Sus scrofa: one gene and its partners. The protein of the gene in region 5 purifies or fractionates together with the protein of the main gene of each other region. This does not show direct contact. Links are inferred from orthologs where the notes say so. Each region holds a gene or a part of one and is shown on either strand. Other genes may lie near its edges. The genes, in order: NPM1, FTSJ3, NIFK, NOP56 and RRS1.

The links.
Region 1: the proteins of RRS1 (region 5) and NPM1 purify together in Homo sapiens (affinity purification with mass spectrometry; 3 studies listed by BioGRID and IntAct, counting the BioPlex papers as one, with this or other methods). This does not show direct contact. The link is inferred for Sus scrofa from reciprocal best matches to the Homo sapiens genes RRS1 and NPM1.
Region 2: the proteins of RRS1 (region 5) and FTSJ3 purify together in Homo sapiens (affinity purification with mass spectrometry; 3 studies listed by BioGRID and IntAct, counting the BioPlex papers as one, with this or other methods). This does not show direct contact. The link is inferred for Sus scrofa from reciprocal best matches to the Homo sapiens genes RRS1 and FTSJ3.
Region 3: the proteins of RRS1 (region 5) and NIFK purify together in Homo sapiens (affinity purification with mass spectrometry; 3 studies listed by BioGRID and IntAct, counting the BioPlex papers as one, with this or other methods). This does not show direct contact. The link is inferred for Sus scrofa from reciprocal best matches to the Homo sapiens genes RRS1 and NIFK.
Region 4: the proteins of RRS1 (region 5) and NOP56 purify together in Homo sapiens (co-immunoprecipitation; 3 studies listed by BioGRID and IntAct, with this or other methods). This does not show direct contact. The link is inferred for Sus scrofa from reciprocal best matches to the Homo sapiens genes RRS1 and NOP56.

What each region holds. Positions count from the first base shown.
Region 1 is NC_010458.4:52,778,785-52,783,463, forward strand, and holds the start of NPM1 (nucleophosmin), read right to left. Parts: upstream 3,079-4,679; 5' UTR 2,862-3,078; coding exon 2,804-2,861; intron 879-2,803; coding exon 799-878; intron 1-798. UniProt on the Homo sapiens protein: Involved in diverse cellular processes such as ribosome biogenesis, centrosome duplication, protein chaperoning, histone assembly, cell proliferation, and regulation of tumor suppressors p53/TP53 and ARF.
Region 2 is NC_010454.4:15,111,861-15,115,872, reverse strand, and holds the end of FTSJ3 (pre-rRNA processing protein FTSJ3), read right to left. Parts: coding exon 4,009-4,012; intron 3,930-4,008; coding exon 3,664-3,929; intron 3,130-3,663; coding exon 3,044-3,129; intron 2,961-3,043; coding exon 2,861-2,960; intron 2,778-2,860; exon of another isoform or gene 2,756-2,777; coding exon 2,572-2,755; intron 2,487-2,571; coding exon 2,392-2,486; intron 2,310-2,391; coding exon 2,117-2,309; 3' UTR 848-2,116; downstream 1-847.
Region 3 is NC_010457.5:29,717,469-29,722,284, forward strand, and holds the start of NIFK (MKI67 FHA domain-interacting nucleolar phosphoprotein), read left to right. Parts: upstream 1-1,555; 5' UTR 1,556-1,570; coding exon 1,571-1,615; intron 1,616-3,481; coding exon 3,482-3,640; intron 3,641-4,816.
Region 4 is NC_010459.5:32,962,201-32,966,714, forward strand, and holds the start of NOP56 (nucleolar protein 56), read right to left. Parts: upstream 3,132-4,514; 5' UTR 3,104-3,131; coding exon 3,101-3,103; intron 2,946-3,100; coding exon 2,856-2,945; intron 2,507-2,855; coding exon 2,392-2,506; intron 1,845-2,391; coding exon 1,683-1,844; intron 1,527-1,682; coding exon 1,328-1,526; intron 969-1,327; coding exon 781-968; intron 701-780; coding exon 549-700; intron 373-548; coding exon 272-372; intron 1-271. UniProt on the Homo sapiens protein: Involved in the early to middle stages of 60S ribosomal subunit biogenesis. Required for the biogenesis of box C/D snoRNAs such U3, U8 and U14 snoRNAs. Part of the small subunit (SSU) processome, first precursor of the small eukaryotic ribosomal subunit.
Region 5 is NC_010446.5:68,284,940-68,289,629, reverse strand, and holds RRS1 (ribosome biogenesis regulatory protein homolog), read left to right. Parts: upstream 1-1,416; 5' UTR 1,417-1,541; coding exon 1,542-2,639; 3' UTR 2,640-3,827; downstream 3,828-4,690. Other genes in the region: ADHFE1 (hydroxyacid-oxoacid transhydrogenase, mitochondrial), read left to right, coding at 4,243-4,301. UniProt on the Homo sapiens protein: Involved in ribosomal large subunit assembly. May regulate the localization of the 5S RNP/5S ribonucleoprotein particle to the nucleolus.

The DNA of each region.
Region 1 (4,679 bases), on a different chromosome or scaffold from region 5:
TTACAATGCCCCCCCATGAGTTTTTTAAAATACAGAATAATTATTCATCTTCCATTATTACCACTGATGGAAAACTGACGAGCTCAAAGTTGTCTTCAAGTTTTATGTGACCCTAGTCTCATACTCAGTAACTTTGAACAAATACACTAAAATGCATTTGATGACACATACTTATGCCATCACCACTGTTAACTCACAGTATGAATCGCCTAACATTTACCGGCCACCTACAATTTAAGTAGTAGGCTATAGCCTAGTCTCTGGGGAACAAGATGTATATTTGTCACTACCCTAAAGAGTTTTTAATACAACTCAAGAAAAGTAGATGACACAATAAGGAAAGCTGGGGAGTTCCCATTGTGGCTCATTGGATTACCAACCCAATGTGTATCCATCAGGATGCGGGTTTGATCCCCAGCCTCCCTTAGTGGGTTAAGGACCCCATGTTGCCAGGAGCTTCAGTGCAGATTTGCACAGGCAGCTCGGATCCTGTGTTGCTGCAGTGTAGGCCGGCAGCTGCAGCTCCAATTTGACCCTTAGCCTAGGAACTTTCATATGCCATAGGGGCGGCCCTAAAAAGCAAATAGAGAAACAGTAACAGTGAAAATAAGGAAAGCTGAACAGTGTGATTGGACTGTTCAAAATATCAAATGAGTGGTAAAGACGGCAGGTTTTCTATAACACACGTGGAAAACCAAGCATATACAACAACTATAGAAATACTTTTCTAATGTTAAGCCACACAAATTAAGCGGTGTCTGAAATCGAGAGTACTTTGTCTTGAAAAGTTTTACGTACCGTTCTTAAAGATAACTGGTGCTCATTTTCATCATTATCCACCTTAAAGTGGTAATCTTTATCGGCCTTTAGTTCACAACCTGTAAATGAGGAAACAACCCTACTATAACAAGGAGAAAAATAACACTGAATGAAACGTCACTGTGGGTAACCAAAAGTTACTTGATTTTACTATTCTATTCTAGCTACCAAAAAGCAAGGCAGAAGTACCTCTTACAGGCCTTCTTGAACACACAAGTCTATAAACATCAAATAACATCCATATAGAGCAAATAACTTTCATAGTTTTATAAATTCCTCCTTTCCATCATACTATTTTATGCTCAACTACACTCTTCTTAGGTGGAAACAGTATCAAAGATTTAGTAAAAGCTGGAACTTAAACCAAACCTAACATATGTTGATAAAAACCCCACTATTTTAAAAAGTTGAATTACCTACCCCAACTCCCAGGAGGAGTGCCAATTTAGAAATGACAGTGGTTACACAAACACATACATCGACAGCTTGTATTTACAACACAGAAAGACTACAAAGTAGGAGAACTAAAGGTTGTTACACGGGTCCACAATCCATCTCTGAACTAACAAGTGATATATATAAACTCTGTTCAGAAATTATATCTAAGGCAAAACTAGAAATATCCCAGGGATATTTCCGAGGGTAAACACAAACGTTTTTGATATAAACTGATCAGAAACTCCAGCTTTTCAAACCGGCTAAGAATAAAACCCTTAATGTATAGCGCATGTTACCATTACCACTCATGAATAGGCAAACTGATTTTAATAGTCAGAACTAAATTTTAATTTAAATAATACCATTTAATTGCCATCTACTTATTTACTGCAAGAGATGTATAAATGTTCCTGCTCAATTAACATATCTCAGCACGATATATAACAAAATGAACTTGAAGGCATTTGCACTTCTTCAAAACCTAACCGAAAAAAAATGGCTTTAACAATTAAGTTTAGTGAAGTTGAAAAACCAACCCAAGTCTCCTAGGATGGCACTGTGTGATTGAGGTGAGCAACAAAACCTTGGTAATAGAACTACAAGTTTAACAGAAGGCTGCCTCTGCTGCCCACCTCCCAAATCATTTGTAAAGCACCAGCTCTGGAAGCAAGCGTTGTGGGGTTGGAACTATTAAGTGCAACCTTCAGTTTTCCGAGTATCAGTAAGTCATCTGCAAAGAGCGCGGAGAGATAGAAAAAGAACTCTAGAACTACCAGCACTGATGTTAACCACTTAACAAAGACCTCAAGAGTACTGGCGCTACGAACCACTTCACCTAAAATTTCCCGTCCACCATCCTCAATTAAGCCCCAGGACCCCAGGCTCGGAGTGACAAGACACCAGTGAACCCCGGATGTAGCGCCCACACCCCTCCTTCCCCCAACCACGTGGCAACCACGTGCTCCCAGCGGTAGCGGCCTCCCCACGCCGGGCCGCGGCTCCCATCCCCCTGTAACCGGCCGAAGAACCCGGGCCGAGTCTGGGCCCTAGACCTCCTGACCCTTTAGGCCTGTAGGACAACGCCAGGCTCCATTTGTCCTCTCCGTCCAGATAGGAAGCCCACGTCTCACACCCTGATCCCCCACAATCTCTTGCACCACCAACCTGGAGTCCAGCATCAGGCACTAGTCTGGAATCAGAAGCCTACCAACTCACGCAACCCCAGGAAAAAATTATGCCCGGAGCTCTACCACGTGCCCCAGCTAACGCCCAACCCTAAACCGGTGGGTTCCACATTAACTCAGGCCCTGGGCCTCGGACCGCTCACGCTTCAGGCCGCCCTTACTTCCCAGTCACTCCGTGGTGCCGGCTCGCCCTCCCAGGTCCCCATCCTTAAGCTTCAGGACCCCAGCAGCTCGCTTCCCACTCCCGCAGGCCTCCAGCCTGCTTAGCTTTCTCCACCTGCCCAGGCCTCAGTGTGATTTCCACCACCCACTCCAAAGCCACCAGGCCGCGCTCGGCCTTGGCCCAACACGCCAGTACTTACCGAAAAGATAGTTCTGAGGCCTCAGGGGGCTCATGTCCATATCCATCGAATCTTCCATGGGTTGGTGGCACGCACTTGGGTGGGAGAGAAGGCGGACGGAGATAATCCACTAGTGTTGCGGAGAACAGCCGCGCAGGACGGAATCACACCAGGGAAAGGACGCGGGCTCCCTGCGCACATATATAGCACCCTGACGATCTCGCGAGAGCTCTTCAAGTCCCGCCTCCGCGCGCGTGCTCGGAAGCCCCCCTCCCCGCACAGTCTCTCTCCTGCGCAAGCGCTCTTCAACATCACTCCTTGCTACCTCGCCCCCCACCTCCTCCAGGTACTTCGCGGGCTCCCACCGAGCACGCGCATTCGTACCCTGGTCCCACCCACTTCGCCGCCACCGCCTGTGCGCACGCGTACTTCCCCCTCGTAGCGCGCGTTCCCCCACCCTCCAAACCTTCCACGTCCTCTCCCGCTCAGGAGCGCGGGCCTTGCGCCAAGAGCCTGCGCAGCCCACCCTGCAAAATGGCGGCAGCAACTCTTAGCTGGGTTAGGTACGAAGGGCGAGCTGGTTGTAAGTGAACCAGAGAGCAGCTCATTTCTCCTTTCGCCATCTCCTCATGCCTCGCAGGCCTGCAAACAGGCATAACCACTTCCAGTTTTTTGGCTCGCCTGAAGGCCTGAGCCCAGAGTTCATTGTTTCCCCAAAGTTAAAGCTTAAGGTGCCAGAGACAGTGGACTACGGATTGCCACTTGTTGGGGAGAAAAGATGTAGCTGCTGGCCAGACTTAATCGGTTCTGTTTTTAACCCCCTGTCCTTTCTGAGGAAACATCTCCGAATTTAAAATTCTTCGACATTACGTCACTGGGAGGCCAACAGGGGGTTCTAAATCGGTCTCTTTCATATGAGCAGGGCAGGAACCAAGCCTGGGTGATTTCTCCAAAGAGAAAGTTTTAAAAGGGTTGTGTATCCACCGTATGTCCCCACGTAACAGGTAAGAGGCAGATGTGACTATCCCCATTTTGCGGACAGGGAGACGCGCCACGAGGAAGTAAGGTGCCCAGACGGAGTGGTTACAGAAACAGGGTTCTCTAGCTCCAAGTCTAATACTAACACCTGTCTAAAAGCTCGGGGGATTACACGGGGGTCCAGTGTCTGAGGTTGTGCAGTTCTTAATCTTTAACATCACTAAGGTTGTTCTGGCCTGAAAAGAAGGCATTTGACGTTTAAGAAATACACAAACTTAGACTCTGGAAGCGAGCCTGGAAATGAGTATCTTAAAGTACGCTGTCAAACTGAGGACCACCCTTCCCCCAACCGCAGCTCCTCGGGCAGGGGTGCTGAAGATCCCCACAATTATGGTTTTTACACAAATTTAAAAAATTAAAGTACTGTAAAGAATAAAAATAGTGACAGCAATCCCCTACCGCCTTTTCTCCAAACATAGGCTACTTGGGAAGATAAACTGTGATACGCATGAACCAATAATTAACAGAATCAAAATTCAAAATGTGGAGAAATCAATGCTTATTTGTGAATGGACTAAGCTGTTCTCCGCTTTTCCCTGCTCCCAACTGAAAAAAGTCTTTACCAGCTTGGTTCTAGCATCTTTTAAAATGCAGAGTGTGACCAATTACTAGAGAAAAAAACCGAGTCTTGGAAAGTTACTACGGATTGCCACTTGTTGGGGAGAAAAGATGTAGCGGAGAACATCCGTAAAGGAACTGAGAAAGGCTGATAAAAGGGAGGAGAGGACTGTGCCTGAGGCGGATTTAGAGGTGTTAGAATGAGAGAGAGAAAGAGCTACAGGGGAGTGGAGAAGGGGTTAATGTTCTTTGGGCCCCTGCAAGAAAAATTGAAATGACTTTATAATTTCTTTCAGCTTTC
Region 2 (4,012 bases), on a different chromosome or scaffold from region 5:
CAGATTTATGTTTCAGGCAGATCCCAAGATTTATTGTTTCCATTAAGGTAGCGGCACAGAAACCATGGAATTGTGGGGCCGTCAAGTTTCTTAACTTAGTATCTCACCTGCTGTTGTCTCTTTTAGTCACAGTACAAGAGTCACTTTGTCGCTGCCAGCTTAAGCAACCAGAAGGCTGGAAGCTCTGCTGCTGGAGCAAGTGGATGGACTAGTGCAGGGAGCTTGAATTCAGTTCCAACTAATTCAGCCCAACAGGGTCATAACAGTCCTGACAGCCCTATTGCCGGTGCCACCAAGGGCGTCCCAGCCTTTGGCAGTGCTGGCAACCTCAGCAGCGCCCCAGTGACCTACCCTTCTGCCGGAGCCCAGGGAGTCAACAACACAGCTCCAGGGAATAACAGCCGAGAAGGGACTGGGGGTGGCAATGGGAAGAGAGAGCGATATACTGAGAACCGGGGTGGCAGCCGACATAGTCATGGAGAGAGTGGCAATCGGCACGGTGAGAGCCCGCGTCATGGAGATGGTGGTCGCCATGGAGATGGATACCGCTACCCAGAAAGCAGCAGCCGTCATGCCGATGGCCGGCGTCACACTGATGGCCACCCTCATGGAGAGAACAGGCACGGAGGAGGTGGAGGCCGCCACGGGGAGAGCCGAGGCGCAAGCGATGGTCGGAATGGTGAAAGCAGGAAAGAAAGTTGTAATCGTGAGAGCAAGATGGACCCCAAAGCAGACAGCACCAAGGCGGATAAGACAGACAGCAAGACAGATAAGACAGCTGATGGGTTTGCTGTCCCTGAGCCCCCAAGCGCAAGAAAAGTCGATGGGACAGTTAAAGGGTATGTGCTGAAGTGTGAATCAATTGTCTTTAATTTTATTTTTAGAAAGATTTTTGGTAACTAGGTGTCTCAGGGCTGGGTTGGGGCCCAAGGTGCAAGGACCCCCTGTGCTTAGTGAGTAGTTGGAGCTTGGAGACATTACCCCCTCTTCTGGGTCATTTTTCAGATGTTTTTGGGAAGCTGCTTTGGTCCTTAGAAGTGAGACCTGAGAAGCTTCTTTTGGCTCTGGGTGAGTTGTCATGAGGGTCAGTTGAGGAAACCTTGGAAGAAAGGGCCTTATAAGGCACAAAACTCATTCTAGGTTTATATTCTATGTAGTGCATATTTTTTACTAAAATGTCACCTTAAAAACATCTACAAATAAAGTTCTTTTTCTGTGGCCAGGCAGACCCCTTTGCAGGAGTTGGCTGCTCCTACGAACCCAATCCACAGAGGTGTTAGGGATGTGTGGGAAGCACTTTGGTGCATCCAAACATTTGCAGGGAAGGGAGATGTCTGATTCTGAGGGAAAAGTGATGCTCAGGTTCCCCAGCCCTGAGACAGGAAGCAGCAGCCTGCCAGACCCAGAGCCGCGCTGGGCCTGAAATGTTGCTAAATGGAAAATTAAGCAAAAATCCAACAACAGCTTTTAAAGTGTCTTCTCCTATTTCACTGTATTTTTTTTAACTTGCCACAATGGTAGAAGAATCTTTTGCTGAAATGATTTTGATGATTTTTGTTCTATCTTGTTTATAAAAGGAAAAATATACGTACTTCAAATTTTGTGACTTTGTGAAGGTTTCTTTAAGATGTGCATTCCTTTCTGCTTGCTCTAGTAAATGGTTTACTACTGGGACCTGTGGATTGTTTGTCATTTACTTCACCATGAGTCGGTACGTATTAACTGTGATCTGGAACAGTGCAGCACGTGGTGTCAACAGTTACCACGCACTGATCATCCTGATTTTATTCAGATGATGCCCACCTGCCCAGGAGCAGACTACAGCACGTGCCATCCCAACACTGAACTCCCCCGCTTAGGATTTAAAAAGGGTGTGATTTTCTTACCCCACAACGGTTGTGGGGTCTGGGATGGTGCCGACAGGACATTTCAGTGGCATGTTAACAGGAGCCCTTCTTCCAGCCAGGAAGACATCCCCCTCACAGCACAGGACCACCCCCAAGTGCCCGGCACCTGTCTTTTCACACTGTGATGCTGGCAACAAGGGACGGGATGGTACTGAGGAGGCGGAAGGCCTCGTCCTTACACAGTCCTGCTGGAAGTCCTGCAGCTCTGCTCACTTGCGCTTGTGCTTTTTCTTCTGCTCCTTCCGTTGCTGTGCTCTTTGGTCTTTCTTCATCCTCGAGTCCACCACCTTGAAGTGACCTCTGACTCCAGCTGGTCGGCGTACTTTGCGGCCCACACCTTTTTTGGCTACGACATAGGTGACCTGGCGTTTCTCCTTTCCAAGCCCTGCCTTCTTGTAGAGACTGTAAATGGAGGACCCAGGTCAGAGGCTTTCGGCCGCTCCCCAACCTCACACACCCTCGCGGGCGACTCCCCGCCCCTCACCTTCGAAGCTGTGCCACTTTCTCCCGCTCTGAGATGTCCACCGTGTTGACCACAGCTTCTGCCTTCTTCTTGGTCTGCTCCAGCTTCTTCAGCATCTGGAGAAGGAGCTCTGTGAGGCTCACCCTTCCTACCCCTGCCCCCCACCCTCCACCTGGAACCTCGGCAAGCCCGGCCATTTACCCTCCGTTTCTTTCTGGCCTTAGCCTCAGCCACTTTCTTGATGGGACGGGCGTTGATTTCCCGCCAGCGTTTCCTGTAATACTCCACCTCCTTCTTATCAAGAGGCAGCTGTCGTATCCTGTGCTGCTTCTCCTCCTGCACAAACCACTCTGGAAGCTCCCCCTCATCCTCATTAAATGTGTACCTGCGTGGAGAGTACGCCAGCCCTGGTGACCACCCCAGGCTTTCAAATTAGAAATCCTCCCTCCCCACCCGCCTGGGCCACTTCTCACGACTTTTGGCTCCTTACCGGCTGAAGGAGTCATCTATGAGGTCTCTCTTGGCTTTTTTGGAAGAGGCAATAATGGCGCCTAGAGCCAGGCCTTCAGGGTCCAGTATCCGATGTCTCGCTAGAGAGAGCAGGAGAGTTAAAGCTCAGTTTCAACACAACCTTCCCGGTGGCCTCCCACTCCACTAGGGCTGGAGCTCTCACCTGGGTCCTCAATGGGCACGATCTCAAACCCGTCGTCATCCCCTGCCTCAGGCCCCCGTCTTCGCTTCTGACTGCGTGGTTTCCAACTGGGGAAGAGGGGGGAGTCCGACTGCAGGATGCTCCACCATCATACATGCCACTCACACCCACTCCTGCCTCACCGCACCCTGGTTCTCCTTAAAACTGCTTGGGGAACTTCCAGAACCTCGCCACCCAGGCTGTCCTGCAGACCACTTTAATCAGTTTTTGCTTGTTTTGGTCTTTGTCTTTTCAGGGCTGCACCAATGGCATATGGAGGTTCCCGGGCTAGGGGCCGAATCAGAGCTGTAGCCGCTGGCCTATGCCATAGCCCCACAGCCACGCCAGATCCAAGCTGTGTCTGCGACCTACACCACAGCTCAGGGCATCGCCAGATCCTTAACCCACCGAGCGAGGCCAGGGATCGAACCGCAACCTCATGGTTCCTAGTCAGATTCGTTAACCACTGTGCCACAATGGGAACTCCTACTCAGTATTTTTTAAATTCCCCATCTACCGGCAAGGTTGAAGACCCCCAACTTAGCAACGATTAGAACCACTGCTCCTCTTCATCCCTTCTCCCGTCAGCTGCAACCACTCACGTGTCTTCATCCTCACTGCTGCTGCTGTCGCTGTCAGAGCTGCTATCTCTGGCTTCCCCGCCAGGGCCTGTGGCAGCCTCTGTCCCTGAAGGAGCCCCTGCCCCTTCAGGGGCCTCACCCTGGCATGGGGGTGGTTTTCTCTCAGTCTTCACGCTGGAAGGTGCTGGCAGTGGCTGCTGCCCCTTGCGACGGCTCTCGTACAACAGCTGTGCCTGGCTGATCTCCAGGGCCTCGTCAGCATCATCCTCGATCCCGCTGAAGCCATCCTGTGGTGGCAAAAACGTCAGACACCCCCTGCCCTGAGGACGCCAGTCCCGGCCATCCTGGCACCCAGCTGCTGCTTGCCTTT
Region 3 (4,816 bases), on a different chromosome or scaffold from region 5:
CAACACCAGATCCAGGCTGAGACTGCAACCTATGCCACAGCTCACGGCAACACCAGATCCTTAACCCACTGAACGAGGCCAAGGATCAAATCATGTATAGTAGTCAGATTCATTAATGCTGAGCCACCATGGTAACTCTTGTATGTTTTCACTTTTATGAGGAATCTAAAAAATAAAGCAAACGATTAAATATAGCAAGGCAGCAGCAGTTCCACAGACACAGAGTAATGGACTAATGGGGGGAGGAGCAAATTGGGTCAGAGATTAAGAGGTTCAAACCACAAGGTATAAAATAGACAAGTAACAGGAATGTAATGTACAGCACAGTGAAATAGCCAATATTGTATAACAACATTATATGGAGTATAATCTATAAAAATATTACTAAATTGTATACTTGAAATTATTGTAAGTCGACTACAACAAAAAAGAAAAAATTAGAATTTTTTAAATGATAAGATCATTGCTTTGATAAGTCCTTTTTTTTTTTTCTTTTTTTGGCTGCCCCAAGGTATATGGTGTTCCTGGGCCAGGGAGAAGATCCAAGGCACAGTTTTGGCCTATGTTGCACCTGCAGCAACACTGGATCATTTAACCCACTGCACTGCACCAGGGACTGAACCTGCATCCTGGCGCTGCAGAGATGTCACGGATCCTCTTGTGCCACAGCAGGAATTTCCACCAGTCTTCTTTTTTTGTTGGCTTGTTTTTGTCTTTTTAGGGATACACCTGAGGCATATGAAGTTCCCTGCCTTCGCCACAGCAACAGCAACACAGGATCCAAGCCACATCTGTGACTTACACCAAAGGTCAAGGCGATGCCAGATACTTAACCCACTGGATTGAAGCTACATGCTCATGGATACTAGTAAGGTTCTTAGCCCATAGAGCCACAGTGGGAACTCCAATAAGTCCTATTTTTAAAGTCCTTGACAGATTTTGCCAAATCTCTTTCTAGAGAAACTGAACTCATCTCCATCCCCCTGGCCACTTGGCTGCACTCTCCTGAGTGTGAATGTTAACACTGTAGACATTCTGGGCTCATTTAAGGGTGAAAATATGACTCATTTAATAGTACTGAAGACTCTGTTATAGGTGGTACACTTCTACAAGTTTCCTTGAAGGGCAGTGAACCCTATGAGCAGCTACCCCTCTCCACTCTCCCCACCCCCATCCCTCCAGGAGCCCCCCCCCCGCCCCCCCCCGCTTTGCCAAGGTCATTGCCACACTCAGGGTCTAGATTCGGGGTTGTGCATGAAGTTAGACCTGGCACAGGGCAAGATGTGGCCAAGGTGATAGTCACAGAGAAGGACAGAGAAAGAAAATTTCCCTCCCAACTTCAGGTCCTGTGGCCCTAAACTGAATACAGGCGGAATTTTTAGTTGTCAGGTGACATGTCCTGAGGCTGCACTATTGAGACTAATGAAACAAATGACACTTTCTCTCCACTTCCCCTAAAATTGTCCCTTTCAGCCCAAAAGCCCTGTGACTGAGCAAGGGTCAGCCAGGCAGGGCTGAGCATGCTGACTCATAGCTGGAAGGTTGGATGACCCCTCAGGGACCAGGCACAATGGATGGAAAAGGAGGAGAAGAGGAGGAAGGCGAGCAGGGCTGGGTAGGCACCTCAGCCCCACCTCTCAGAGTCTTCTGTTCCCAAGACCCAGCTCCCTAGATACTCAGCACACCCTGCCTTACCCTGAAGCTCTGACATCAGCCCTCACCATGCTACCTACCCCATCCCCTGCCAGGGGCTCCAGTGCATAGGTGGTGATGGTGGCCCCATAGGAAAGACATGCCACTATTGAGTTCCCACAGAGGGGTGGCATGGTGGGTGGTCAGTGGGGGCAAAAGAAAGGAGAGACATTCATTGAGCACACGCAGCCACACACTCAGGTCTGTAGAAGTGTCTGGAGGCATTTGGTTGTTAAGTGACTTGGGGGGAGAAGGGTGGTGCTGACATCAGGTGCTGGAGACAGGGTGCCAAGGCAGAGTGGGACACACAGTCCAGTGAAAAATTGTTCTACCCAAGAAGCCTCTGCCCTCTACAAGAAAAATCGGAAGGAGAAAACGTAATACCCAAATTTTAGGTAGTGCATTTGTTTTCATTGGGCAATCTGCCACCTCTGTCTCCCATACTGGCTGGCATGGACTACTACTGTAGCCTTGACTCCCTGTTTCTTCAGTCCACCTGCCACCCTAACTAGTGGAGTTATTTGAAAGGTATGAACAACCACAGCCTTCCATAAAACCCTCCCATTCCCCTGCATTTACAATAAAACCCAAGCTTTCAACCTTGACAAGCAGAGCCCTGGAGCTCCCACCTGCACCCTTGGTCCTCACCCCTTGCTGAGCTCCAGCCACAATGGCTGGTCCCTTCTTTCCAGCCTAAGACCTCCATGCCTGCTCCCCATGCCTTCAGGTCTCAGCTCAAAGCTACCTCCTCCGGAGGCCCTCCTTGCCACCCAGGATGCCTCTCCCCCAATCTCTTCAGTATCTCACATAGCACCAGACCCACCCTCAGACGTCCTTTATCTGCCCCTCCCCCCAAGCTCTAAGTTCCCCAAAGGCAGCAGCAGAGGGACGCACAATAAGAGCTCAAAAAACAAGTGAAAAAGGAAAATAGGGGAGTTACCATTGTGACTCAGTGGTAACGAATCCGACTAGTATCCATGAGGATGTGGGTTCCATCCCTGGCGTTGCTCACTGGGTTAAGGATCCTGCGTTGCCAGGAGCTGTGGTATGTGGAGTTGCTATGGCTGTGATGTAGGCGGGTAGTTGCAGCTCCGATTCAACCTGTAGCCTGAGAACTATGCTGAGGGTGCAGCCCTAAACAGCAAAAAGAAAGAAGATAAATAGAAAAGAATTAATGGTTAGCAAGACCTCAAGGGCACGAGTATTGTTTTGGGGTTGGTTTCGTTTTTGGTTTTGGTTTTTGACTGCGCTCAGGACTGGAGGAAGTTCCCTGGCCAGGGATAGAAACTGCAGCAGCTACCTGCCCTGAGCCAACCCGCTGAGACACCAGAGAATTTCTGGAGTCGATTGTCTAGGGGTCAAATGAAAGCTGCAGCTGCCCGGCTTACACCACAGCCACAGCAACACCAGATCTGAGCTGCATCTGTGACCTACACTACAGCTCACGGCAATGCTAGAACCTTATCCCAGTGAGCGAGGCCAGCGGTGGAACCCACACCTTCATGGATGCTAGTCGGGTTCTTAACCTGCTGAGGCACAATGGGAACTCCCTGGAGTTGGTTTTTATCCCAACCCTGGCCCTTGAAATGTGAGGGCCATAGAGGAAACGCTAACAAGCTATTCACAGCAATTTTGGGGAGCTGGCAGGTGTTAGAGTGAGGTCAGCGGCTGTTGAGGCAGGGGACGCCGGAGCTCGCTGGACCCTCCCCGCGCCCCGCCCAGGCCCCACCCCCTGCCGCGCCGCGTCGCGCCCAGGCCCCGCCCTCACTTCCGCTTTGGAACCCTACAGGACTCGCATTTCCGGGAGCTCCGCGTGGATTTGGTTAGCCCGGTAGCAGGCTTAATGGCGGCTCTCGCTGCCCAGGTTGGGCCGCTCTTGTCCCTGAATCCGCAAGAAGATGCTAAGTTCCAGAAGAAGGTAGCGCTGGCTCGCCGTCGCGCAACCAAGGTGAGTGGCCTGCGCGGCCCCAACCGCGAGAGGAGGCGGCTGGCGCGCCCTGGGCCTTCTGCCCAGCGCGTCTCGGCAGCCCCACGCCTGTGCCTCAGCAGGGTCACCCTGGAGGCCCCGACCCCAGGAGACTCCGACCCCAGGAGACCCCGACCCCAGGAGACCCCGACCCCAGGAGACCGAGGTTTTCCCGAGAGGACCGAAAAATGAAGGGGTGGGTGTTGGGGTGACGATGGAAAAGAGGAGGCCAGCCGATGGGAGCGCCCCTTGTACCGCAGATCAGCCCCAGATCCGAAAGAGCGTTCTTTGGCTCTGCCCCTGTAGGGAAAATGTGGCCTCTGTTCACTGGCACTAGTTTGGGAGTCGGAGTTTTGAGGAAGAGAAAGAACAGTTTTATTGCTTTGCCAGGCAAAGGAGGACACGGCAGGCTAATGCCTCAAAGCTATGTCCTGACTTGAGAGGGGATAGCAAGGGGTTTTATAGGTTTAGCTCGGAAGACAGGATTATTGATTAAGATGTCTATGTTATTCTTAATCCATAGATCATTTCAAAGTAGTCAAATCCGGAGTCAGTCGGTTTGGTGATGGTTTCTGGTTGTCTTCAGGGTTATCGTCCCTTGACCTTCTCTCTGGAATAAAGACTGCTTAAGGGGAAGGGGTGTCAGAAGAGTGTTTCAATTATAAAAGAAAACATTAGGTGCAATATAACTCTGATTAGAAAGTAAACATTAGTAATAAGTTAGCAGACCAAGGCAGGACACAACATAATGGAGACTGTTTTAACTAGGTTTTAGCTGTAACAGTATTTTCTAATCATTAACTCTCGAGTCAGCCTTTTGAGACTGAGGGGAGGCCTGGGAGACTAAAGGAAAGGCCGTTTATTTCAAAACACAAAGATTTAGGGTCTGGTACATGGTTTCATCCCCAAATTGGGGAGGTTCGGTTGCCAGGTCCATGGTTTTGGAATCCTTAAGAGACAATTTTTGCCAGGCTTCATTTGCTTACGACTAGGGGCCCTGACATAAAGTTCTGTTTCCCAAAGGTTTTAGCATAAAATGCATTCCCGGAAAACTTAAAAGTCCTTATTATAGAAAACAAGGGTATGTTGGAGGTACTGTTAACTAACGTCTTAAAATAGTTGACTTAGGTGAGTACGAATTAAACGATGATCTGCAAA
Region 4 (4,514 bases), on a different chromosome or scaffold from region 5:
GAGTGAGCTTTGGTTGGGGTTGGGTCTCTACCCCATTTCATGCCAACCCATCGCTCCCAGAGGCAGAGGAAAGGCATCCAATGTCGCTGACCTGGAAACTTGGTCCCTTTGCTGGGCCCAAGGAATCACTCAGACACCAGGACTGGCCATCACCCCCGTAGCAGAGGACTGTATAGGTCAGGGAGCCCTGGTCAGCCATCACTGTGATCCCCGAACAAGCAGTGGGCACCAGAAGTGGCACCTGAGTGTAGGCAGGTGCCCTCACTGGTACCTGAACAGGGCCTTTTCGGCCCCAAGGATCTGCACTGTGGACGCTGGATACTTGGCCAGATTGGTGAGACTGCCAGCATGAGCAATGAGACGTGCACCTACCTGGAGAAGAATTTAAGAATTAGAGGCTGGAACTGCCAACCTACCAACTGCATAATCCTGCTTCATCTCCTCCCCGTCAAGTTCAACTGGGAAAGATACGACGGGTCAGGAAATACAACCGTACAAATAGGCATCGTAATTCCTCCAGCCCCCATTTTTTCTTCCCCGTGACGCACCGCTTCCCCAATTAGGGCTGACAGGCTGGGGGCTACTTGGCTCATCTTGGACCGCAGGTAAGTGTGTAGGCTTTGGCGGTACTCTGACAAAGACACCACACGACTGGAGAAGCTCTCGATGTTTATCAAGTCAATGGCAGATATGTCCATGCCTAAAGGACATCAAGTGTGAGTGCAGGAGCCAAACAGCCAGAGACCCATACCTGATTTTAGTTTTGGGCACTGCACTGACCCATGGAGGACCGAGAGGCATCCAGAATAGCCTTAGCCTTGGCCCCATCCATTGTCAGCTCCTCCAGCTTCTCCAACTTTTCTTCGTTCAGCTCCCTTCGGTTTCCAATGAACTGAGCAAGGCGGCAGTATGTAGCGTTATCATTAATGATCTTCACGAGCTCGGGAAAGTGATACCCATACCATTCCCTGCAAAGAGCCACAATCACTCCCTGGCCCAGCTGCTGAGTCCCAAATAAAACCATGGCCCCAGCCCTCTCCACATCTACTCTTTGCCAAGAGGAAAAGTCACATCCAAAACCTTGTTCCGTGTCCCCCCATTCACAATACAGACCAAGCAAAGGGCCTGGGCTGAGGTGTATATGGGGTGAGTTGCTCTGCCTCCTCTTTCTATACAGTCAGTGTAAGAACACAGCCTGTGGTAAGCACTGGGAGGCCCAGCTCTACCCCACATGTACCCACAGGAGCCAGTCTCGATTTCAGGATTCAAAATGAGCCAAACCACAGACCCAACACCTCATTTCGCAAGGGTCACCCCTACACTTTACCTGACACGCATCGAGAAGGTATTGATGTCCTTATCCAGCTGGTCCAGGAGGCTAATGGACTGGATAATCATATTGTCCACCCGGTTCACATTGAACTTAACTTTGGCACGAGAATAGCTGTGTCCCAGCCCCAGTTGGGCTTTACAGGCAGACAGATCAGTGAGACCTTTCACCAGGTTGTGGAAGTGCAGTCGAACTCCTGGAGGAGGGCAAGACTGTGAGCAAGGAGGGGCTCTAAGCTAGCTCCCGCATCCGTGGGCACCACCCAAACAGGGCTTCTCAGAAGCACCCTTAAAGCACCTTAATAAAAAAGTTCCCACACCCCCTTTAAGATTTCATTAATAGATGGTCTCACCTCGAAGGACCTCAGCTATCACACCTCCAGTCTGGCAGTTGTACCCCAACTCCTCTTGTATAGCAGCACCTATCTTGGGGTCCCCAACCCCCAAGAGTACTTTCTTCTTTTTAGATGGCAGGTGAGTCTCCAGGAACAGGCGGAGATCCTCATGGACAACACCTCAGGGCAAAGAACAGAGCTCCCACTAACATGCTGAAGGACGCATAAAGGGATCCTATCCCCTCAACTGCCTATTGAGTGACACAGTGATCTTACAATGGTCTTGCAGAACATGCTAGGATGGTGTGCCAGGACCCCCGCTGCTCCAGGCTTTGCTCAGACACATGGAGACATCAATGATCATACTCAGGGGATTGACAGATTCAAGTCATCACTGCAAAGCCTGCATCAAACATGGGAGGACTCAGGCGAAATAACGTAAATGAGAAATATGGAGCACAATGTAAGCATTCAGAAACTGAACTGCCTTCTGAGACCAAACCTCCCTTGGTCAAAACTGCCCTTTCCAATTAAGCACCAGTCCCTCATCTCCACCAGATTTAAGAGTTTATCACCACAGTGCCACATGCGATAAAGCCTATGTCCTCGACTGCGCTAACCACCTTTTTTGGCTGTTCTGCTGTTGCACGGTGTGCTTTAAGAGGATAACGGTAGCAGAAACCATATCTCGGCTTCTCTCTCCCAAAATACTTAGTGGCCAACTCACCTTCAGACACAGCGTTGGCATTTTCCAAGGCAACCTGAGACGAGGAAAAGGGAGAAAAGGCCACGAGACGAACTATGTTGTGGAACTTGCCCAAGTTCAGCACGCACTCCTCCACCTGGGGGGAGAAAGCATGAATGGTTTCTTTCCCTCCCTCTTGCCTCTAGGGCGCAGTAAAGCAGCAGCTTTCAGACCCGAACGCACATTAAGGATCTAATAAACCGATCATGGGCCCTAAATGCCGATTCCACTTTATTGGTATGGGATGGAGTCCAGGAAGCTACTTTCAAATGTTTCTAACGCGATTCTAATCGTGAAAGCAAGTAAGGACCCCTGGTCTGGAGCTGTCTGGCCCAGAGCACCCTCCACAACTCGCGGCCGGCCACGTGGGAGCGCGCGGTGCATGCTGGGCCGCGCGCGGCCCAGGGGGATGCGGCGCAGCCGGCGAGCCCACTGCGTTCACCCACCTGCGGCAGCAGCAGGCTGATCTCTTCCACCTCCTTCAGCGCCAGCAGTGCGTAGCCGACCGCGTGCTCGAACAGCACGTGCAGCAGCACCTGGAAAGCAAGCCGGGACACAAGCTATCAGCACCAGCCCCGCGTTCACCCGGTTCTTCTTCCGAGGCAGGCGCCGACCCCGGTGCCGGCTCCGGCCCGAACCCAGCCCCAAACCACGGCCTCCGGCCTGCCCGCACGCCACAACCACTCCTCACCATGGCGCTCGCTCCTGGCCCAGCTCGCAATGCGGCGAGCGGGCTCTGGCGCGCGGAACCGGGCTCCGGAGGCCACGCCCCCGAGCCATCAGCCAATCAGAGGTCTGGGACGATACCATTGCAGGCCTCCAGAGGGGTCCAGCGGGATGGTATGGCCCGCAAAGCGGGGGCGGGGCTCGCGAGCGCGGGCGAGCCGGCTTTTTCCGGCCTCTGCTGCGGCGCGGTTGTCGGGCACGCGCGGGTCGCTCTAGGCCTTGCAGGCTACCAAACGGTTTGGAAAGACGCATTTCTGGCTAACTGTGCCATCCCGCATGTGTTCATCACAGAAGTTACCGGCAGCAGAGCTCGGCGGAATCCGGGCAGGAGGCCTTGTGCGGGCCGCGGCGACCCTTCCCAGCCGAAACTGTTGCGGAGCCCGCTCTCCATAGGGCTGGGAACTTAGGCACCGAGGCCTAGTCCCAAGACCCACACCCCCAGGACCCCTTTGTCCCCGTCCGCCGCTAGGCAACGACTCTCTCCGGAGCCTCGGGTCAGTGAGCTCTTCGCTCTTTACCGAGATGGAAGCGGGGCCTGGGGCGCGCTGGCCCGGACCCTGACTCAACGTGATTCTTCCTGGCTGGCTTCGTGCTTTTAAGTTATATTTTATTTATCTTTTAAAATGAGGGCGGCAGGCTATGAAGTAGGAAAGAAAGATGACCCTACCCCCTGCTCTTCCTAGTTCGGTTTCTCGCTCTCTGCTTCGGATGAACCCTACTCTTTTTGCGGGGCCACGTGTTGCTCGCCGTGGTGAACGACCCTAAATTCTTATTAAGACCCGGCCCCCAGTGAACTGCAGCTGCTTCCGTGTCCTTGGGGCACTAGGCAGACTCTTTTGAAATTACTTTTGCTTTAATAATTAATGTTAGAGTTATAAATCCGAAGCCTGGTTATTTCGAAATAGTATATATGCTGGTAAATTAAAAAAAAATCATTTTAAGGGGCTTTTTAAAAACAAATTCCCATAACTAGAGCGTATTTATAAATTTATTTTCTTAAGCAGTTCAGTTATTTGACAAAATCCAAGTACTGAGCTCATTCTTAAAACCTAAAATATTAAAATTTTACGTGTGGTTGGTAAGTCTTAAAATCTTATGGTCTCGATATATTGCTTACAAATATGCTTAAATCTTGTTACACGTATCTGCTTAAAGTTAGGAATCTGAAGCAGTTACGCAAGATCATGTTTTAAAGTGAAATTGCAAAATTAATGTATTATATCGGTATGGTAAGTTCTTTTAAGCGTTATAAATAGCAAATTAAATAGAAGTTTCTGAAGTGTGATGGAAAATATCAATGATATGACTGATTTACTTCGTTACTCCTATATTTAATCCTAAATATTTCTAGGATTACTGGTACTTATTTTCTAAAGTAG
Region 5 (4,690 bases):
GGCTGTAGCTAAAGCCCTCTTGAGCTCACCCTCAACTAAATCTATTCCAAACAGCGATATCTATATTCATGGGTTAATTCTCCAACTAATCCCTTCTTCAGTAATCCAATTAAGATAAAATAAAACCTGTAAACCACACAACCAGCAGTGCCTCCCAAACTTGACCATACTCATCACCTAGCTATCTTGTTAAAAATGAAGGTTCTAAATCTTTACATTTGGGGTGAGGCCAAAGAGTCTACATTTCTAAGGCCCAGGTCACCACACCACACTTTTCAAGTATCAAGAGCCTGTAAAACATTGCAGAGAATATTCATGTAGTCTTAAAGCCAGCGTTAAAATAAATCCTGCTCCCAGCTTCCCTAGTTGTAAAACCTTAGACGTCATTTTACCTCTCTGAGTCTTCTGTTGTCATCAGTGGAATATGATGAATTACAGTAACTAACACTTACTGAATGCTTACTATGTGCCAGTAACTAATGCTTCATATTTATTAACTTATAGGACTTATATTAAACAATCCGTCCAAAGCAGGTACAATAAACATGGATCTTATTCTAGGTCGTTTAATTCAAGAGCCTGGTGTTTAATCACTGTGTAAGATTGCCCTTCCAGCCACAGCTCCTCAAGCCATTACGAAGATTAAACAGTAATTGGTATTTAGCTCACCTTCAGAGCACTGATATCCAGACCCTAGAGTAAGCTCCCTTGGGGGCATATTAACTCATTTATCTTTATAGTGGCCCTAGGAGGTAGGTACTATTAGTACTTTCATCTTACGGGTTTTAAAATAGGGCCAAATAAGTTAAACAGTTGAAGTTCAAACACCAGCGCAGTCAAGATTGTAACCAAGGCGGTCTAACAGAAGAGCCAGTCGCTCTTTAGCCACTAGCCAGGAGAGGATGTGAGAGGATGTAGCCCGGGGCGGGGAAGACCAGGCATCGGGCGGCTGGGATGGGGTCACGGCCGTGCCCACTCAGAGCTGCCTATGGCTTCCAAAGCAAACCAAGTCTTCGTCTACACTTGGCTTTAAGTACATCCGTGGGAAGGACCTCTGTCGGCCCACACCCAGGGCCCCATGGGCTCTGGTGAAATATAATTTATCTGTTCCCAAGAAGAACTGACTTAGTAAGTATCTTGAGAACTGACTTAACTTAGTGTAACACAGTCGCTCCGAGACCCCCTTATTCTGGGGCCCCCAAAATTTTCACTGCCCCTCCCTCCCTCACGCCACTGCCTAGTGGAAGCCCCGGTGCCAGTCAAACCTTGGACTTCGTAGTGCGCGGGTTCCTCGCTCCTGCTCCGCCTACATCCGGGCTGGAGCCCAAGGGCCGTCTCTAACCCCATCTGTTCTCCAACACCGCCCTCTGCCGGCCCTTCTTCGGGTCGCCCGCGTTGTGAGCCTTTTCCGGCTGCTCCGGAAGTGGAGCTTTCTCTTCCGGGACGAGCGTCTGGGCGACTGCACGTGGCTGTGTTGCCTTGGCCTTTGCCGGCGCTACTGGAGAATTGATTGGAACTGTTACCCCGGAACAGCCGGAGCCATGGAGGGCCAGAGCGTGGAGGAGCTGTTGGCAAAGGCGGAGCGGGACGAGGCGGAAAAGCTGCAGCGCATCACCGTGCACAAGGAACTAGAGCTGGAGTTCGACCTGGGTAACCTGCTGGCCTCCGACCGGAACCCCCCGACCGGGCTGCGGCATGCGGGACCCACGAAGGAGGCCGAGCTGCGAGCCCTGGCGCGGGACAACACGCAGCTGCTCATCAACCAGCTCTGGCAGCTGCCCACCGAGCGCGTGGAGGAGACGCTGGTGGCGCGGCTGCCGGAGCCCACCACTCGACTGCCGCGCGAGAAGCCGGTGCCCCGGCCGCGCCCTCTTACACGCTGGCAGCAGTTTGCGCGTCTCAAGGGCATCCGTCCTAAGAAGAAGACCAACCTGGTGTGGGACGAGGTAAGCGGCCAGTGGCGCCGCCGCTGGGGCTACCAACGGGCCCGCGATGATACCAAGGAATGGTTGATTGAGGTGCCGAGCAATGCCGACCCCATGGAGGACCAGTTCGCCAAGCGTATTCAGGCCAAGAAGGAACGGGTAGCCAAGAACGAGCTGAACCGGCTGCGTAACCTGGCCCGCGCGCACAAGATGCAGCTGCCCAGCGCGGCCGGCATGCACCCTACCGGACATCAGAGTAAGGAAGAGCTGGGCCGCGCCATGCAGGTGGCCAAGGTCTCCACCGCCTCTGTAGGGCGCTTCCAGGAGCGCCTGCCCAAGGAGAAGGCGCCCCGGGGCTCTGGCAAGAAAAGGAAGTTTCAACCCCTTTTTGGGGACTTTGCAGCTGAGAAGAAGAGCCAGTTGGAGATGTTGCGAGTAATGAACAGCAAAAAGCCTCAGCTGGACGTGACCAGAGCCACCAATAAGCAGATGAGGGAGGAGGACCAGGAAGAAGCGGCTAAGAGGAGGAAAATGAGCCAGAAGGGCAAAAGAAAGGGAGGCCGACAGGGTCCTGGGGGTAAGAGGAAAGGTGGCCCACCCAGCCAGGGAGGGAAGAGGAAAGGGGGCGTGGGAAGCAAGATGAATTCCGGGCCGCCGGGCTTGGGTGGCAAGAGAAAAGGAGGGCAACACCAAGGAGGAAAGAGGAGGAAGTAAATTTCAGCCTCGGACTTGTTTGTAAACCAAGAACTGTACTTAATGTTGACATCTAGGCACTGTAGGGGGACACCAAAGATGTGGCCCCTGCCTTCACTGAGCTTGAAGTTAAAGGGACAGCCTTGCCCTCCTCTGAAAATAGTATGTAAATATTGCACAGGACAAATTAATGTTATTTCCCACAACCAAAACTTTGGCTGAAGATTAAAGGATGTATTTAAGGCTATACGAATTAGGGAAAGAATTTGGTCGAAATTAGGAGTGAGTTCTGTTTTTAAACAGACTTTTTTTTTCCTTGTAAACTTTGTATGTGGTGTGAGGGAGGTCATATTTCAAAGACTTTTAGCATTGTTTTGATAACAAGCTTCTGTATTTATCAAAGTGGGGGAACAAAAAGATTACAAGGTTACATTTTCAGAACTGTTGTAAAGGCCATTTAATAAAGGTATGTCTGGATCTAATATTGCTTTCAAATTTTGTAAGTTTTAAGTAAAGCCAGTGACCTGGATACGTGTTACAGATTATTTTCATTTACTTTCTAGAAGATATCCACCAGCTAACTTATGACGTTAGCAAGACCGCTTTATTAGGAAAACTCATGCTCCTTTTGATACCTGATATATTATTGAAAGTGTACAACTGGTGTCTCTTTGAACACTGAAAACATTAATTTGCTCTAGCTGATAAATTTGTGCTTCACTAAATAATGCAATCTTAATTAATCCTAATTTTATACTTAAATTTTTATCAACATTTATGTCTCCAGTTCTTTTAAAGCTTCAAGTGGGATCTGTTTGGGGAAGAGAGAAACCCACAAAAACCTTGGAACATTATTATCTTTAGATTCATTTGTCACATTGACTTGAGCTGGTTTAATTAGGAGATGAAATGTTTACAGCTATCCTGGGTTTCTTTCCTTAATTGATTTCAGTAACTCACCTTCCTAAATATCTCCTGAAAATTAACAGTAAATCTAGAATGGGGGGAGGGGGCTTTTTTCTGCTGTTAGAGCTCTAGGGAGCCACTCTACTCTTGGTTTTTGGTCTGACAATTGATAGGAAATTAGAATTGGGAGTTCGTTTTGTCTTTTTTTCAGTGTTGTTCCCTTTTTACAAAGTTGTAGAAATTGCTATGAAAGAAAGGATTAATTCAGATTTCATAATGGGTTAATAAAAATATGTTCAATTGTTACTGTCTTAAGATAACTTTCTGATAAAGAGCTGTGCCATCGATAGTGTTTCTGCTAGGACAGGGGGCAGAAGGCAACATAGCATTTTAAAGGAGTCAGAGTGGAAAAGAATGCTCTTTCTCCACATTTCCCAGGTCTCCGACTAGTGACAAAGAGGATTTACACAGAGACTTGGGGAAGTATCCTAAACAGTTACCTGCATGGCAATTTCAAAGGCGGAGGGTGAGACCCTGCAGCTGGAGCAGTCGTAGTTCCGCCTCGTGGGAGAATGGCCTGGAGCCGGAGGGCTGCTGTGGGGGGCGCGAGACCCAGCGGAGCGGGTGGGCGGGCGCGGCCGAGGGGGCGGAGGGGAAGCCAGCGGCACGGATTGGCCGGCGGTGGGGGCGGGGCCCCGAGGAGGGAAACGGTGCAGCCATGGCCGCTGCCGCTCGCGCCCGGGTAGCACACTTGCTGAGGCAACTGCAGCGCGCAGCGTGAGTACGGGGTCGGCAGGCGGGCAGGGGACAGCGCATTCTTCCCGCAGTCATTTTCAGGAACTTTGGATCGCGTTGCCGCAGTGCGCGCCCGCGGCGAGCCAGCCTAGACAGCTCCGTCCCTGTGCCAAGCAGCCAGCGCTGCGCGGTGAGGCCGCTTGTACTCTGCCAGTTCTACGTTAGGGAAAGTAAGCCCCAGAAAGGAGAGCACCCGGTCTCAGATCAGGGCGGGCAATGGAGAGCCTGGCACAGTGACCAAGACAAATGCATGTGTCCAACCAACACATACGTACTGGGTGTATGTTATCGTGCCAAAAACTATTCTAGGAGCTGAAGATAAAAAAACGAAAGACTGCAGCAGTTTAAAATCTGGCAGGGAAAATTGCATG